2 linked regions of the Tamandua tetradactyla genome follow. The protein of the gene in region 1 interacts with the protein of each later gene in a biochemical or structural test. Links are inferred from orthologs where the notes say so. Each region holds a gene or a part of one and is shown on either strand. Other genes may lie near its edges.

The links. The genes of interacting proteins can lie anywhere in the genome.
Region 2: the proteins of RBPJ (region 1) and SPEN form a complex in vitro, tested with the Homo sapiens proteins (2 studies listed by BioGRID and IntAct). The link is inferred for Tamandua tetradactyla from reciprocal best matches to the Homo sapiens genes RBPJ and SPEN.

Annotation. Positions count from the first base shown.
Region 1 is NC_135345.1:26,658,115-26,665,904, reverse strand, and holds the start of RBPJ (recombining binding protein suppressor of hairless), read right to left. Parts: upstream 3,020-7,790; 5' UTR 2,675-3,019; coding exon 2,295-2,674; intron 1-2,294. UniProt on the Homo sapiens protein: Transcriptional regulator that plays a central role in Notch signaling, a signaling pathway involved in cell-cell communication that regulates a broad spectrum of cell-fate determinations.
Region 2 is NC_135328.1:210,041,915-210,049,679, reverse strand, and holds the start of SPEN (msx2-interacting protein), read left to right. Parts: upstream 1-4,765; 5' UTR 4,766-5,036; coding exon 5,037-5,119; intron 5,120-5,601; exon of another isoform or gene 5,602-5,763; intron 5,764-7,765. UniProt on the Homo sapiens protein: May serve as a nuclear matrix platform that organizes and integrates transcriptional responses. In osteoblasts, supports transcription activation: synergizes with RUNX2 to enhance FGFR2-mediated activation of the osteocalcin FGF-responsive element (OCFRE).

The DNA of each region.
Region 1 (7,790 bases):
GAGAGTAAATGACAAAGCATTAAAAAAAAAAAAGTATTGTTAAAATTGTCATTACTGTTAATAATTGGCCTAGAGTCTGTGAAAACATTTTATGCTACTATTTTATTTTGAAAGAAGTCAAGAAGAAAGTCATCTCATAAGTTACAATGTGTTATTACATTTAGGTTTGACAGATCTTCAATCTTTTACACACACACACAAACACACACACAAAATACCACCCTATCATTTGTTTCACATGTCCCTCTCCCTCAAGTTTATAAGAATAAAAAGTATCTGCTTTATTACCCAAACTATAATACACATTCGGATTTTTTTCATCCTACCATCACCACTGTAACTTGCCAAGAACCGAGTAGAGTTCATAACCTCTCATTTGATTTCCTATAAAACATGACCTACTTATTCAGCAACAATTCCTAGACCCCAACCATCCCTTATATCCAAGGATATTCTCTGCAAATCTTAATGCACAGCAATCCTGTACAGATAGGGCAAGTATTACAATTCCCATTTTACTACACAGTTAGGAAACTGGCTGAGGGGAAGTATAGTAACTTGGAAATAATCACAAAGCCAGATGCCAAAAATAACAACTTTAAGTCAATCCATGAGAAAAAACTGCCCCTAGCTGAAATTTAGTATTAGGAGGAAGCAAAATGCAAAATAATGCTTTAAATCCAAACCCGAAGTTTTAATTTAAAAATTACCACATACCAGAATTAAGAAGATATGAAAGAACTACCAAAATCCTTTTTTCTAATGCCTTACCAATCTAGTCTCCCAAAAAGTATTTAATGAATTACATGTGGCAAGAGAAGCTTTTTATCTAAACCATTTTTTTATATTCTAGCCACTTAAAAGATATCGATAGAAATCTGTTGGTATAGAGTAAAAGGCAGCCTTTCAGCAAACCTAATGCATGAAATTTAATGCCTAGAAGCATATTTAGAATCAATCCTAAATTACTGCAAATGTGTCTCCACATTTTTTCCTGAAAATAAATTTTCCATAGACCTATCTGCAATACACTTGGATGACAAATTTAAAGATTTTATAGTCTATATTCAGAATGAAAGTTCTCCTGCTACAACTCATACTGTATATTTCTATATATGCTGCTGGATATAATTTAATTTAGTAAAGATACTGTTTTATTTTTAGTCACAAAATAAAGGCCTTATGTCACGAAAAAGTACATGATTTAGAAATAAAATGCAAAATGTAAAAGTTGCCCTTGTGTGTGTGTGTGTGTGTGTGTGTGTGTGTGTGTGTACAAGTCAGAATAAAATATCTTCCATTCAGAACCAACAGTGTGCTCAACAATTTTACTTCCAAAGGATGATTATGCACTAAGAACAAGGGAAGCAAATGGTTATTGGTAAAATCCACTCATGGAAACTAAACTGCAAATTTTCATACACCTCCCAGTATAAATCACGAAACTATGATTTCCATTAATTAAAATTTAAATTACTAATTTTAACCACAATCATCAGCCAAAAAAAAAAAAAAGTTTTTCAGTCCACCAATATTCCTCAGACTAGATCTTGTAAATTCTCTCAGCATCTTATGAGGAACATCAGTTTACAAATGAAATGACATGACAAAATGATTCTTTAAGTAACATATCTTCTAAAAATAGTGGCCAATAGGAGAAAAATAGTAATTTTTAAAACCCTGAATATATTCATTCTAGTTATCCTGGTAAGTCTAATATCTCATATTCTGAGCACTAGAATAATTCAAGCCATTAAAATACACCACCACCAAGATTTTAACACTAACGTAACAATGAGAATTTGGAACCACGTAATGTTCCTTTAACATATTAGGAAATGCACGTAACTAACTTTAAGACAATCTTCCTTAAGACTATTACTTATATAACTTTTAATTGCATTTTATTAATATAGTTCAGAAAGATCCTAGAAACAGTATTCATCAACCAGAAACTGCACTCTTAAGTGCTCTCCTCATTTCAACCCGAATAAAGGAACAGAAGGGTTTTCATAAATATACAGAGCAAAATCCACATAACTGTGCCTATCTGGTGCTTAAGAAAAAAACAAAACATTTATATCAAATCAATTCCCAAGCAGAATGTCTTCCTTCCTTTTTATAAAACAAAAGTTAACCAGACTCTAGATATACATTCTAGAAAATACTGAAATTCTCCATCCCAACACTCACAAGTTTTTAACAACAAAATTCACGCAACTCCTACTTACACATCAAATGAGTATCTAACATGGTATCCGAAACTATTCTCAAACACCAACAGAAAAAAATACCTTGCGTCTCCTTTGAACGTCTTAAATACCTTTCGCCCATCCTCAGGTAACCCAGATGCAAAGCTACAGACTGCTGCCCTTGGCCTAGGCCGTCCGGAACCGAGGGGAGGGCGAGAGCGGCGGGGCAGGTGGGCAAGAACCATCACAGACTCTTTTCCAGGGCTACTGTTAGCAAGCAAAACAACTACGGGCCCAGAAACCGCAAAGAAAACTGAAGACATTGTAATCCCGAGAGAAAGGGATGCGGAGGGAGGAGTGGAGCCGGGGAGGAAACTAAGTATCACCATGCATCTTTCAGACCCACTAAAACAACACCCCGCAGGGTCTGCCCTTAGAAGCACCAGATGGAGTCCTCCGCGCTGAGACAGTTCAGCAGACATACACCGTGGGTAGTGGATAAATCAACCGATGATGGGAGCGGGATGGTGACGGGGGGAGTGCGAGGAAATAAACCACTGGGTCGGGGAGACAAAAGCCTCTGGGGGCGACGAAAGATCAAGCAGAAATGAAAGAGGGGAAACACATGAGAAATACAATTCAAGAAAAATTAAAAGTCAGAAACCTGGTGTCTAAACTGTGGTAGGTCACTGGACTGCCGGGTAGACTGGGGCAAAACAAAGGAGCAAGGGAGCGGAGGAGAAGAGACGGAAAAGGGATGCGGGGCGCTACGGGTCAGACAAAGCGCCCAAGACGGCGAAACAAAGGGCCGGGGGTAGAGGGTCGCGAGGAGCAGAGGAGAAAGACAAAGCGCCCGGGGCCAGGGGCACCGGCCAGGCAACGAGGCGACCACCGCCGCGAGGAACAAAGCTGCACGGAGCTGGGAGGCAGGGTCCACGGACGGCTGCAGCGGCGCGGGAGGCGAGCGGCAGGCACAGCGCCCGCGGGCCCCGCGCGCCCCGCCGCACTCACGCCCACACCCGCCGGCCTCGCCGTCGCCGCCGCCGCCGCCGCCGCCCGCCCTCACGCGCCGGAGCCCGAGCCACCGCGGCACACCGCGGACAGCGCACAGCCACAGGGCTCCGTGCACACGCCGCCGCTCCTGCGATCCCCCGACGCCGAGCGCGCCCTGGCACCCGAACCCGCCGCCCGCCGTGGGCTGTGAGACGCCCGCAACTTTCCCCGTTCGCAGCGCTCGGATTCCCCCGACTTACCCTGTCACAACAGGCGCCATCTTCCACAAACTCTCGCCAAAACTCCAACCCTCGCGAGATTCCCCCGAAGCCTTCTCTAGTCCCTCTCCCCCGCCCCTTCCCTTTTTCCTCGCTCCTCGATTCCACCCAGCCCCCTAGTTCCTTTTCCCTTCGCAGCCGCCGCGAAAGCCAGACGCCTCGCGCCGCCCGCGGAGTAGGGGATCCAGCTTGCTGCCTTCCCTGGAAACCTACCCAAGCAATGGAGCATGCGCAGGCGGCTCCTCCGCGGGCGAGCCCTCCGTGTGGTCCATGGGGAGCGCTCCAGTTATCCGGGTTTTGAGACGTGCCCTGAGGGACGTACGTGGAGACTGAGGAAAACTGGAGGGGATTACAACAGGGACGGGGAATGGAGGGGTCAGAAGGCGGGGCCGAGGGATAGGGAGGAGGGGTCCTGGGAAAATCTGCCGCGTTTCACAGGCCTAGATGAAACACCTCCTCAAATGGGTGTTTTCCAAGTGGCTTCCCGCTCACTCTGGGTTCCCAGCCCTTTTCATTCATTCAAACGTTCATTGGACGCCTCAGTATAAGGTGCTGGAACTACAAATATGCCTGGGGTTAGGGCAAGTGACAGACCAAGGAACTATCTTTATTCTTTTGATCCCCATTGCTAATGGAGGGCCGAACATAATTACAACGTGATCCGCCCCTCCAGTGCTCTGTAAACGGAAAACTTTTGTGGTTGAACTCTGTCGCCTTAGACTTCTACTCCTTGGGTGCGAAGTGAGGTCAGGCCAAGGCCTCTTGCAAAGTCATCTAGAATGTCCACCTTACATACACACGCTAGAGCGCCGAGCAGTTTTCTCCGTAGTGTAAACTGAGTTGGAATTGAAAGCCACTATCACCACAGCCCCTCCCCACCCACCCCCGACCACGGCCCTGGCCAGAGGCCGCAAAGCTCATTCCCTGCCACTCGGTGCAGTGACCTGCCTGCCGCGTGAGCCTCTCTAGGGGCCCAACGCACCAGCCACCATGAGTGAGCCAGGTGAATATAGGGCCAACTCTGCCCAGGGAACCGGCCCTTCCATGGGCCTGGCACAGCCAAGGATGCTGCCAGCTGCCCGCCACGTACATCGAGAGCCCTAAGGTCTGAAAGCCGGGAGCAATTTTGGACGGTCCTAGCATTTAATTGAAAAGTGCAGGGCCCGAACTTCACCCCTCCCCCGCACCTGGGGGTCCCCCCACTCTCCCGCTCTACTCCGCCTTTCCTTTCCTAGAGATTCCCAGATCCTGTACTGCCTCCCACAGGGAGCCCCAAAACCCGGAGAACTGGAATACGCTCGAAACCTGCTTGAAGGCGCTGCAGGATTGGCGCGGCACGCGCGAGCCACACTGCGCATGTGCCCAATGCGGGCAGCCTAGTCTCACGCTGCACCTCCTTCCCACCGCCTTCCACTACTCGCCTCAGACACAACACGGGCCGTGGGAAATTCGCTAAACCTCGCGAGAACGTGCCCGCTGTTGCCTATACCTCGGCCCCAAGTCTCGCGGAGCCCAGGCAGTACAGGTGTTTGTCTCGTGCAGCTCTGGGCGCTGTTCGTGCAGCTCGTGTCCTGGCGGCAGGCGGGGTGGAAAGGGAGCGGCACTCCGCGGAGGCGGGACCGGTGGGCGCGTGGCGGGATGCGCAGGGAGGAGGCTGGACGTCTCGCACACACTCGCGTTCGTGACTCTTCGTGGAAGAAGTGGTCCGTAGGAAAGTAGGGGAACTTGGGAGACTAGAAACCGCTCCCGGCGTGAAAGGGGTAAGAAGTCAGACTCTAAGGCAGGAGGAGCCCCAGACCTAACTCCCGGGGACATTTAGTGTCGCCCTTCACGAGCCTGGTACTTTCCTAAAATGTGTAAGACGCCGCTGCTCCCCACCTCCAGAAGCTGACAGACAGCCCCAGTGTCAGGGTTGAGTCATGCCTGAGTCACCTAGTCTGGTTACCACTTCGCTTGCTTTAAAGCAAGTTCGGATTCCCTTAGCTACTCTTCCTTTAGCAATTGTTTTTTCCTTTCAGTTGTACGCGCTGGCCTGATGAGTTGGGTAGGAAAAAAAAAAATGCCGGTCTCTGCGCTCTCAAATTGTTGGCTAGTTTTTGCTTCCCGTTCAAGGACACGATTTTTGAAAATCCGTCTTCCGCCCCTAATCTTTTTAACCTTTTGAAGTAATCCTTTCGTACCAGTTTCTGTTCTTTTTTCTTTCCCTCAGTTAATGTGAATCATAATTTTGGTTTTGCTTCCCTTCCCCTTTCCATATTTTCTTTGAGTATTCATTCCATTTTAGGTATTGTTTTGTGGGGTGCTTTAGTGACCACTGTTTTAACTGTATCCCTTTCCTTTTGGGTTTTTATTTTGTACAGTGAGTTCCTAGTTACATTCTTCAGTCAGGCACATTTTAGATTGCCCCGGATATGGTTTCTATACCAACCTTTTCTAACATTGCTTCCTTGCTGAGAGCACCCCATAGATCCGCAAATGTAGAATTGAATTTTGATTCCTGAAGGACGCTGAGCCTTCTAATAGGAGCTCATGTTCTGATGGTTTTGTAGTGGACAGTAAAATCAAGTTTCTGTTGTTTTCAAAGGTGTTAGTGTGTATGTGTGTACCTAACCCTTTCATTATGTATTCCGCATAGAAAAATAGCATTTAATCTCAAAGCCATCCTGGTTTGGAACAGTTTAGCTCAAAAGGAGGACCATGGCCTGGACACATATTCCTGGGAGCCTTCCTCCCGAAAAGACATTTCACTTGTGGTCTAGTCCAGGTCACTGATCGAATTTGGAACTATGACCTGAAAGTCCCAGCAACCTTGAAAAGGCATAACCACAAGTATAATCATAACGCCTCATCTTCACACTAAAACCCTGCCCTGAAACTGCTCTGCCTGTGATCTTCTCTCCATCTCAGTAAATGACAAATCCATCCTTCCACTAACTTAAACCAAAAAACTTGAAGCTGTTCTTGCCTCCTTTTTCTCTCACATTCAACATCCAACCTGAGAGAAAATCATGCCGACTTCAAAATACATCCAAAAGCCAATTTCATGTCAGTTTCTACTCACCCAGTCTAAGTTATCTCATTTCTACCCTATCTTGTAGGAAGTCTCCTAACTGATAACCCTTCTTCTTATCTCGCTTCCCCTCATTCTGTTCTCAGTAGAGCATGCAAAACTACTGTGACCCTGGGTTCACAATTCTCCAGTGCTTTTCCCATTTCACTGAGCGTCCCTTCACAGTCTGCCCTGCAGCAGAAACCTCTTTGACCTCACATCTCTTACTCTCCACCTTACTCGTTCAGCACTAACCAGCTGCTTCCTTGCTCCTGGGATACACAGCACACTGTCAACTCCAGACCTTGCTCATTCTGCTGCCTGGCATGTTCTTCCCTCTGGCACCTTAAGGCTCACTTAGGATTCTTGTCTATTTTATTCACTGTTCAAGCCTCAGCCCCTGGAACAATGCTTGGTTCATGGTAGGCAGGTACCCCATATTTTTAGAATGAGTGGGGTGTCCTCTTTAGAGGAGAACAAAAATGATTTTGAAGACTCAGTAAGCCTTTTAGGTTTCAAAGCAGCATTGAAGTTATACCAGTACTGTGTAACCTAGTGCAAGCCTACATGGAAAGAAGGGGAAAGTCTACAGATCAACCTCCTGTCTTGACTTTAGGTAAAAATTAAAAGTTCTTACTCCTGGGTTAGACCAGTAAATGAAGTCACACTTACTTTAAGGGGTTCCTTTATTCTCCATTTTAGAATCTCTGGTTACTAGTAGGAGTAAAAATGTGTTTGATATTTATGGAAAGCTTTTTGGCAAACTTTATCCCTACCTGTTAGTCTTACAATTCAATTCCTATAAATTTATCTTATGACTATACTCACATATGTAAAATTACCTATCTATTACAGCACCATTTATGGTAGAACGTACTGGTAAATACATTCCATTAAGCCTAAATATCCATTAAGAGATGTCTTATTTTAAAAGATCATGCTGTATTTATAAAATGGAATAGTATACATCTGTTAATAAGCAGAGGCTGCCATTTATGTACTTACATGGAAGGTTCACAAAGATACAGTAAATTCAAAAAGCCAAGTGCAAAACAGTGTTAGATAAATATATACTTACTTACCTATATGTATCTAAAATGACTCTGGGAGGATACAATAGAAACTATAACGTTAACTGCATTCTAGTAAGGGACTTGATGGTTGGCGAACAGAGGGGAGGGGTTGGCTTATCTCACTGTCTGCTATCTTGAATCCTTTGACTTTTGTACCACGTGCAAGTATTATTGCCTACTCAAAATACAAAATGTTAAGAAAAGG
Region 2 (7,765 bases), on another chromosome or scaffold:
AATACCATGATTAACATTTGTGAATATCTTTCCAGTGTAATTTTTAGTCAAATTTCACAAATATTTGTAAATTTTATTCTAAATAGGATTCAGCAAATATTTCCTTAGTTCAGCAGCAGTATTTCCTTAAATATAGAGAAGAGTTATTTTTGGCAACTTTCCAGGGAAAAAGTATGTAAAAACATAAGGATAGATTTTGTAAAAGAAAATAATCAGCCTTTATCTTCATGTTTTCTGAAAAACTAAATTTAAACAAATTATTTAACTTTTTATAGGTTTGACCAGTAGATTTAAAATGTTAGTTTGCTGAAAGAATTATCTAGAGATGTACTAGCAAGCTAGTACTTATCAGCTGATTGGAGTTATAATAATTTATATGTAGATCATTTCACTAGAGTGTGCTTGCTTTCTCAGTGAGTCTGTTAAGATTGCAAACACTCTGATAGTAGTATCATATCATTAGTGTTATCTGCTTTATTTCCTACTTTTTAAAAAAAGACTGATTCTAATAATAGAAAGGGAGTTTGCAGTATTTTCAAGTTCTCACGTGGTTGGGGCTTTGATCATTTTAGAGCAAGTTAATATATTTTTATATAACATCTTCAGGAACAGATGCTTTTATTTTAAGTGTACATCATTATTATTAAACAGTTTAATTTCAGTAGCTTGGGACCTGATTTGTAAAATATCAGGTTAAATATCTGGTGACTATTCTGTTTTCCTGTTTAAATAGCAATATGTGTCTGCTCTGGTGGCCAGGTTAGTATTGAAAAGCCCAAGTTTGAGACTCAGATGCTCAGATGCTTTCCCCAACTGGCTTCCGTTATGCATGGCTGAACTCTTTGAGCATGTCTAGCATCCTAAATACAGGCGCTCCTCACAGTGTGAAAATAAGACCTGATTAAAAACAAATCTACTTTAATTGCCCTTTAATTCCCCTTTTTAAATGGCTCTGCTTTAATGTCACCTTTCTGAGTGATCTTTAGTACTTATATGAGGACAATCACTTCACCATCCATTTATCATACAGAGGAAAGACATTACCCCTACTTTTTGACCTTTTTCAATGAGCATCGATTGTTGCTTGTTAAAATAAGATAAATATAAAGTCATCAGAGAATAACAGAGTGGGTTGCCTTTCTATTGAAAACATACAAAGAGGAATTCTTATGAAGAAATTCTGCTCTTGTTAATATTTGTAACAAAATTGCAAATGGAATTTTTAACACTTAACCTAGGGCTGTTTCCATTACACTGTGATGTCTATCATTGACATCATCAGTGTTTTAAAAATTTCCCAAAGTTCAAGGTAAAGTAGTGTTTGCTATCCTTAAAGAATTAGTATCCTGAAAGAATTCATGCATGGGCATGACTTTTATAGAAATGGGTAGAATTTCAACCTGAATTGCTCATTTTAGCTCCATATCTAAAGGCTAATTTTCCTTTTAAAAAGTTTGTTTAAATGAAATTAGAGTAGCGTTTTTTTTGGCATCATAGGAGCATATTACAATTTTGAACAGGAAAGAATTAACATTTGTTTTACTCATTAAATAATCTGTATATCTATTTAGACTGATAACTATTGACACATATAAACCTAGAATTCACTTTTGAGGTGTATCTATTGGATTAAAATAAAAAACTAAAATGGATACTTCTTTTGCTGTTTTTGATGCCCATAATTCTGAAAACAGGGAGTTTTCTGGAAATTAACCCTTCAAGAGAATTGGAGTGTGAGGTTCCATAAAATAATGTTTAACAGGATTTTTGCTTGCTTTTAAGTTGTTAGATAATAGTTTCTGGGTTGTTTTATACATTTCTGGTAAAATGAGAAATTTTATCTTAATTTGACATTTGCTTCTAATCTTTTTGACATTCTGTGATCTTTAAGAATCTTTGAGAGAGGTTTAACTCGACTTTGCTTAACAATTTGTACATTAGTAATCTTCTAACATAATTTCTTCTTTGCCTATTTCGAATTTAATTATCAAAATTAAGTTATCTACTCAGTTTTTTACATGGGGAATAGCTGTAGAGCAAGATCTTTTTAAACTAACCTAGGAGAATGACATTTCATTTTGTATTTAGCTGTTAAGCATGCTGCTTTTTATTTTCACTTACTGTCCTCTTATTTTAGTACCATGGAGAAGGTATTATGAATACATCTTAATTAGTTCTTATTTTGTTCTAGTTTATCCTTTTATTGCTCTGTGGGGCTCATAGATGTATATAAAATACACATTTAATCATTAAGTAGTTTCTCTTCCAATAATTTTGCTTTTAAAAGAAGTTTAAACAGTTTTTCAGCTCTTGACTCTTTCTTCATGATTTTAACTGAAGTCTACACTCAAGGTAAGGTCTGCCCTTTATTTTTCTAATTCCAAGATACTGTGTTCCGAAACCTCCTCTTTATCAGTTGCCCCTTGAAATATAATTGAGCTGGGCCTCTTCTGTTTTCATGGTGACATGAGAGAGATTTCAGTTAATTTAGAGCTTATCAGGTTTTAAACGAGTAATTTACATTACATTTCAAAATGTATCTGAAAATGTGGTTGCTTGTACTGAAATTAATGCCTCATTGAAAAATGCATGTAAGTCAGTGCTTGCTAACTACAGTCACATGCAAGGTATTATAGTTCATGAGTTTAGGTAATAGTGTACTGACTGCATTTTACAGGTGTTAGTTGTCGTGAAAGTGGAATGACCAAATGTAAGTAGCCAATCTTAATGCAGGTTGAGTTGTTTTTCTTTTTGTCGAAGGAGGAATCAATTCTAAAATATTTTCAAGAACAGAATTTCCATTTCATTTAGTTACTTTTTGGGTTGCAGGATGATAAGGTCAATCTCCACAGTGGCATTAAATACCTTAACTAAATTATGAATGTGTGCCATGATTGTGGTGGTGCTTTGTTTCCAATTTTTTTAGACTTCCTTTTTCTTTCTATTTAGTCTTCCTTTTTAGACTTCGTTCCTGCTTCTTAACTGAGGTTCAAGTCAATAGTCCAGGAAAAAAAAATGCACTGAGATAGAAAATGAAAACATAAGGTAGGACTATATCATATAAAATAAACCAGTTATAGTAGTAGCTGGCCAAGAATCTGAAGTTTTAGAAGTAACTTGTCAAAATTCCAAAATCAGTTCAATGGAAAAATGTCAACCAAGTTTGCAAGGCTGTCCCCTGAGCTAGAGCATCTTGGACAGAAATTGTTGCAGTTGTGTAAAGGGTGGACTTGCTTAGCCTTCTGAATGTCTTGAGAGAGGGAAAAGAATCTCAGTTGACCAGAGTTGCTGAGATTAAATTTATGAAATACAGTGTAGACTAGTAAACTAAGTACAGGAAAGTCTGATGTGATTCTCAGGTAGTTGTATGCTCTCTCTCCAACGCAGTCATGAAGAAAGTTTGTTATACAAACAAAAAACCAATGTGAAGCTTTAACTTCTGTGGAAGAAAAGAAATAAATATAAACAGGTAACCCCAGATATTAGCGCTGAATCATCACTGGTTATGGTGACAATATTTTCTTATTAAAGTTAACATAGTTTGATGATATGTTGGTTTGTTACTTAGGGGGACAATGAATAGGATTAAATATTTAAAACCTGGCTTCTATCTTAAGGACCACACCTCTGATACTATTACTGAAGGTGAAAAATGGAAAAGAAAACGGAGTTGCTGACTGTTCTATTCTAAAAATTCCATTTTTCTGGACTCAGTTTAGTAAAGTTGGCTTTACTTTGTGGGGGCTTACCCGGATTTCGGTAAGCTCGCTTTTTATTTATTTTTAAACATAACATACAAAAACGAATATTCTTACCATATGATCATTCCATTCTTGGTATATAATTAGTAACTCACATTATCATCACATAGGTGTGTATTCATCACTATAATAATTTCTTAGAACATTTAAAGCTCGCTTTTTAAATAAACTTTTATATAAAGTTCAACTATAGGTTTCAAAATTCCATAGTCCATGAAAGGCCAGTGGTCTAATCCCTTCCTCTGCTTCCCAGTAAAATATTTAATAATGACAAGCACATACTAGACATATAACTGTTTCATTTCACTTCTATTCCTGGTATACCGTAACGATCAGCAAGGGTATCTTGAAAAAGGTTTCGCAAGATCCTATATAAAATAAAATTGCTTCACGTTACAAGCTAATGATTCTTGGGAGGGATGGGTTTCTATAGCCGTCATTGCTTAGTTGGGCGGTGAGAAGAGCGGCCTAGTTCTGACCACTTTCCCAAGCAGGCGGGGATCCAAGTGCCCGGAAGCGAAAAGACGCTGCTTTGAAGGGTGTACTGGGGAGGTGACCTGGCTTCTTTTAGTAGAAGCTGCTGGCACATGCAGCCCTGTCAAAATCAACCCCATTTCTCTCTTTTCTTTCACCAGGCTAGCGCCTGGGGACGCCAGTGCGAGGGGACAGAGACAGTTCCTGCCTCTCCATGCTCCGCGCCCGGCACCGCCCCGCGGCCAGCCTCCCCCACGGCTGCGCGCCTGCGCACCAGGACAGAGCGCGCGAGCGTTCCTTCCCCGCCCCGCGTTCCTCCCTCCCCCGCCCGCCCCCGCGCGCTTGCGCGCCGGCTGGGAGGCTTTCGGATCCTCTGCGGGCCGGCAGGCGGGCGGACGCGCCCGCAGCGAGGGGAGGTGGCGAGAGGCGGGCCGCGCGCGCGCCGGTGGGAAGCGTCCGGCTGCCACAGCGCCAGCTCCGTCGTAGTCGCTGCCGCCCGGGTCCCGCTCGCCCCTCCTCCCTGCTCCCCCCTCCCGCCGCCGCCCGGGCGCATGCGCCACCGGAGCGCGAGGGTCGGCTTCGGGTGTGTGGTGGCGGCAGAGCTGAGCTGCGGAGCCCGAGAGTCAGAACCTGGGGGAGAGGGATGGTCTCTGCACGGGGGGGAGCCGGAGGAGCCGCCGCCGCTGCCGACGCCACCGCCGCAGCCGCCGCCGTCGCCGCGCCCGCCTCCTGGCGCTGACTGTCTTGTACGAAGCCGGCGAGGGAGAACCCGCAGCAGCGGTCGCCGGCACACCGTCCAGCATGGTCCGGGAAACCAGGCACCTCTGGGTGGGCAACTTACCAGAGAATGTGCGGGAAGAGAAGATCATCGAACATTTTAAACGGTGAGTGACACGAGGGCCGAGACCGCGCTCTCACCTCGGGCGCCGCTTCCCGCTCCGGCCGGTTGCCTGCCCTTCCCCGTGCTCGGAACTGGTGAGGAGGACCCCGGCCCCAGACCCTCGGGCGGGTGCGGAGCGCGCGGGCTGCCCTCGTCAGCCGCTCGGTCCGCGTCCCGGCGTTGGGCCTCGGGCCTCGGCGGAGCCCGGGCCGCCGAGCCGCGGCCGCGAAGGGCGCCCGCGGGGTCCCGGCTGCCGCCCTCAGCCTTCCGAATAAGGAGACTGTTGTTCGGCCTCCTCGAAGCAGGCGTGGGGTGGGCTGCCTCAGGGTGGCGAAGACGCCGGTCGGAGCCACACGCTCGGTGGAGCTCCCTTGTGGGGTCGCGTCCTTGCGCGCCTGCTGCCGCGGCGAGCCGCTCTCCCGCCTCTGGGACGGCGCCTTGCCGCCCGGCCCGGCGAGACAGAAGCGAGAGGCGACTGAGGGCCGCGGGCGGACCGGGACCCGAACCCGTCCCCGCCTCACAGCCCTCCGGCGCGGCAAAGTCCCGAGTCCCGCAGCAACTAAGCTTCCCGCTGCGCGGGCGCGTAAAATGTCTGGCTTCAAGAGGTTTTTGTGTGAAAGAAAAGATCATACAAAACCAGAAGTCTTGGTAGGTAATGAAGGAGTATCTCTGAACTGGAAAGACTCTTCTCGGGACCTCTCACACGTAGGATCTGTAGACCTAGACGCTCTGTGGAAATGGCAAATTAACATTTTGTCTTTTTTTTCGGAGTGGAGTAGAGAATGATGTCAGAAAATGAGTTGGTGCCTCTGTTTGGACTCTTTCGCCTTCCTTCTTGCAGCCCTCGTCAGTCTCTGGGTGAGGAGGATGCTGGAGCTAAATGCTTGCAGGGTCCGAGCAGCCTCCGGTAGAGGTAGGAAGGCAGGCGCTGGAGGGGAAGCCTCTGCCGCTGCGGCTGCTCTGGTCTTATAATTTTCTGTCTTTAAAAAGGACGGTCTTTTCCTCCATCCGAGTTCTTAAATCAAATGGTTAAAAAAAATGCAAGCCTGTTAAGACTGGAAGATGAAGCTTTTTAAGCCTCCCTGAATATTTTATTTGTCCTTGAAATATAAGAGTAGAGTTTGCTCTTGATACATATTTATTTAGTAGCATTTAGCGCTTGTTTTCTTTGTGAAATCTATGTGTACCGTGGCTGATAAAGGTTTCAATATAAAACACCTAAAATAACGACTTACTGAGATACGGTGCAAATGGAGGATCATTGCAAATCTTTATGATCGTCCTCCAAAGTTATTGTTCTTCCGATGTTCAAGACCCTAAAAAGGTTTTGAGTTTGGTTTGCTCTTAATTCTTCTTACTGTTTAGTGAGTGAAAAAAATTATGGAGCGTCCTTATTAGTGAGTCACCATGGGAAAAATAGATTGCGTCTCTTGCTCTTAAGCCACTTGGATAAGGAAATGGAAGCAGCGGCAGCAAAGCTCCTCTCAGCCTTTTAAATGGAGGATCATTGATTCTGTTGGTGGTTGCTGTTACTGGGGTATTAAATCTTCACCGCTGGAGCGCGCCTTTGCGCGTGTCCGCGTGTGAAAAGGAGTTGGGAATTGTGAGACCATTCATAACCTGCTAAAGCTGTCCTTAGTAGGGTTGGTGGGGGGGGGGCGGTGCGCGCTTCTAGGGACTCTCCCTGTGTTTACTACGTTGTGCCTGAGGAAGCTGGCGAAGGGAAGGCAGGGAGCAAAGATTCGCCTCTGTCCCCCTGTGATAAAGAGGAGATCTAGGGCTCCATTGGGAAGCTGATGGGAACTTTCTCTTCCTGGCGCTGCTCCACCCCTTTCCCCGCCCTCCCCCGCTCAATATCTTCAGTGTTTTGGTGGAAAAATCATTTAGGTGCAGATTATTGGAGGGTATAGACAACTTAGATGTGCTCACTTTTACCTCCTCGTGGACTTTTCTCTGTCGGTCTCTGGGAATTTTGCTTGCACCGACGTGCAAACACGTGCATCGCCTCATTCTCTTTGCTTCTCGGTGATATGTGGCCAGATGTGTCGTTTTGCATTATGCAGATTGCAGAGACTTTGCATGTTTGTCGTGGGGAGTTTGACTTCTCTGCAAGATGAGGGGGTAGGGAAAGGAAAGAGGAAATCGACCAGGGGACTTTGAGAAGGTTTTTAAGTGGATGGTGCTGTGGTCCAGCTTGTTTGAATGACTTTCTAAAATGGCGGCTAGGACCCACTTTATGTGGGAATCTGCCGAGCAGATCTCAGAATGCATAAAAGGAGGAGGGGGTGGAGGATGCTAGCTGCCTTGGAAAGCGGCAGTCTGGAGACACATTACTATATTTAAGAGGGCTTAGCTGGTACATTGCTCAAGACTGCATTTAAAGGAGTATCTTACCTATTGCAGAGCAAAAGCAAATGCTTTTGTTAAAAGCATGTAATTTTAAAACTAAGACAGTGTGTCCCTGAAACTCCTTTATTTTAAAGGTGACTTTTTCATTTTTAAACAAATGTATCTAATCTTTTGAGTAGTATATTTGTAAGCTTTCAAGGAGCATACAAATCTACATAGAGAATAATCTCCCCTTCACAACTGACCTTAGACTTGCCCCTTCCCATTTCTTCTCGCCAACAGGTAATCTCTCTTTCTTGTT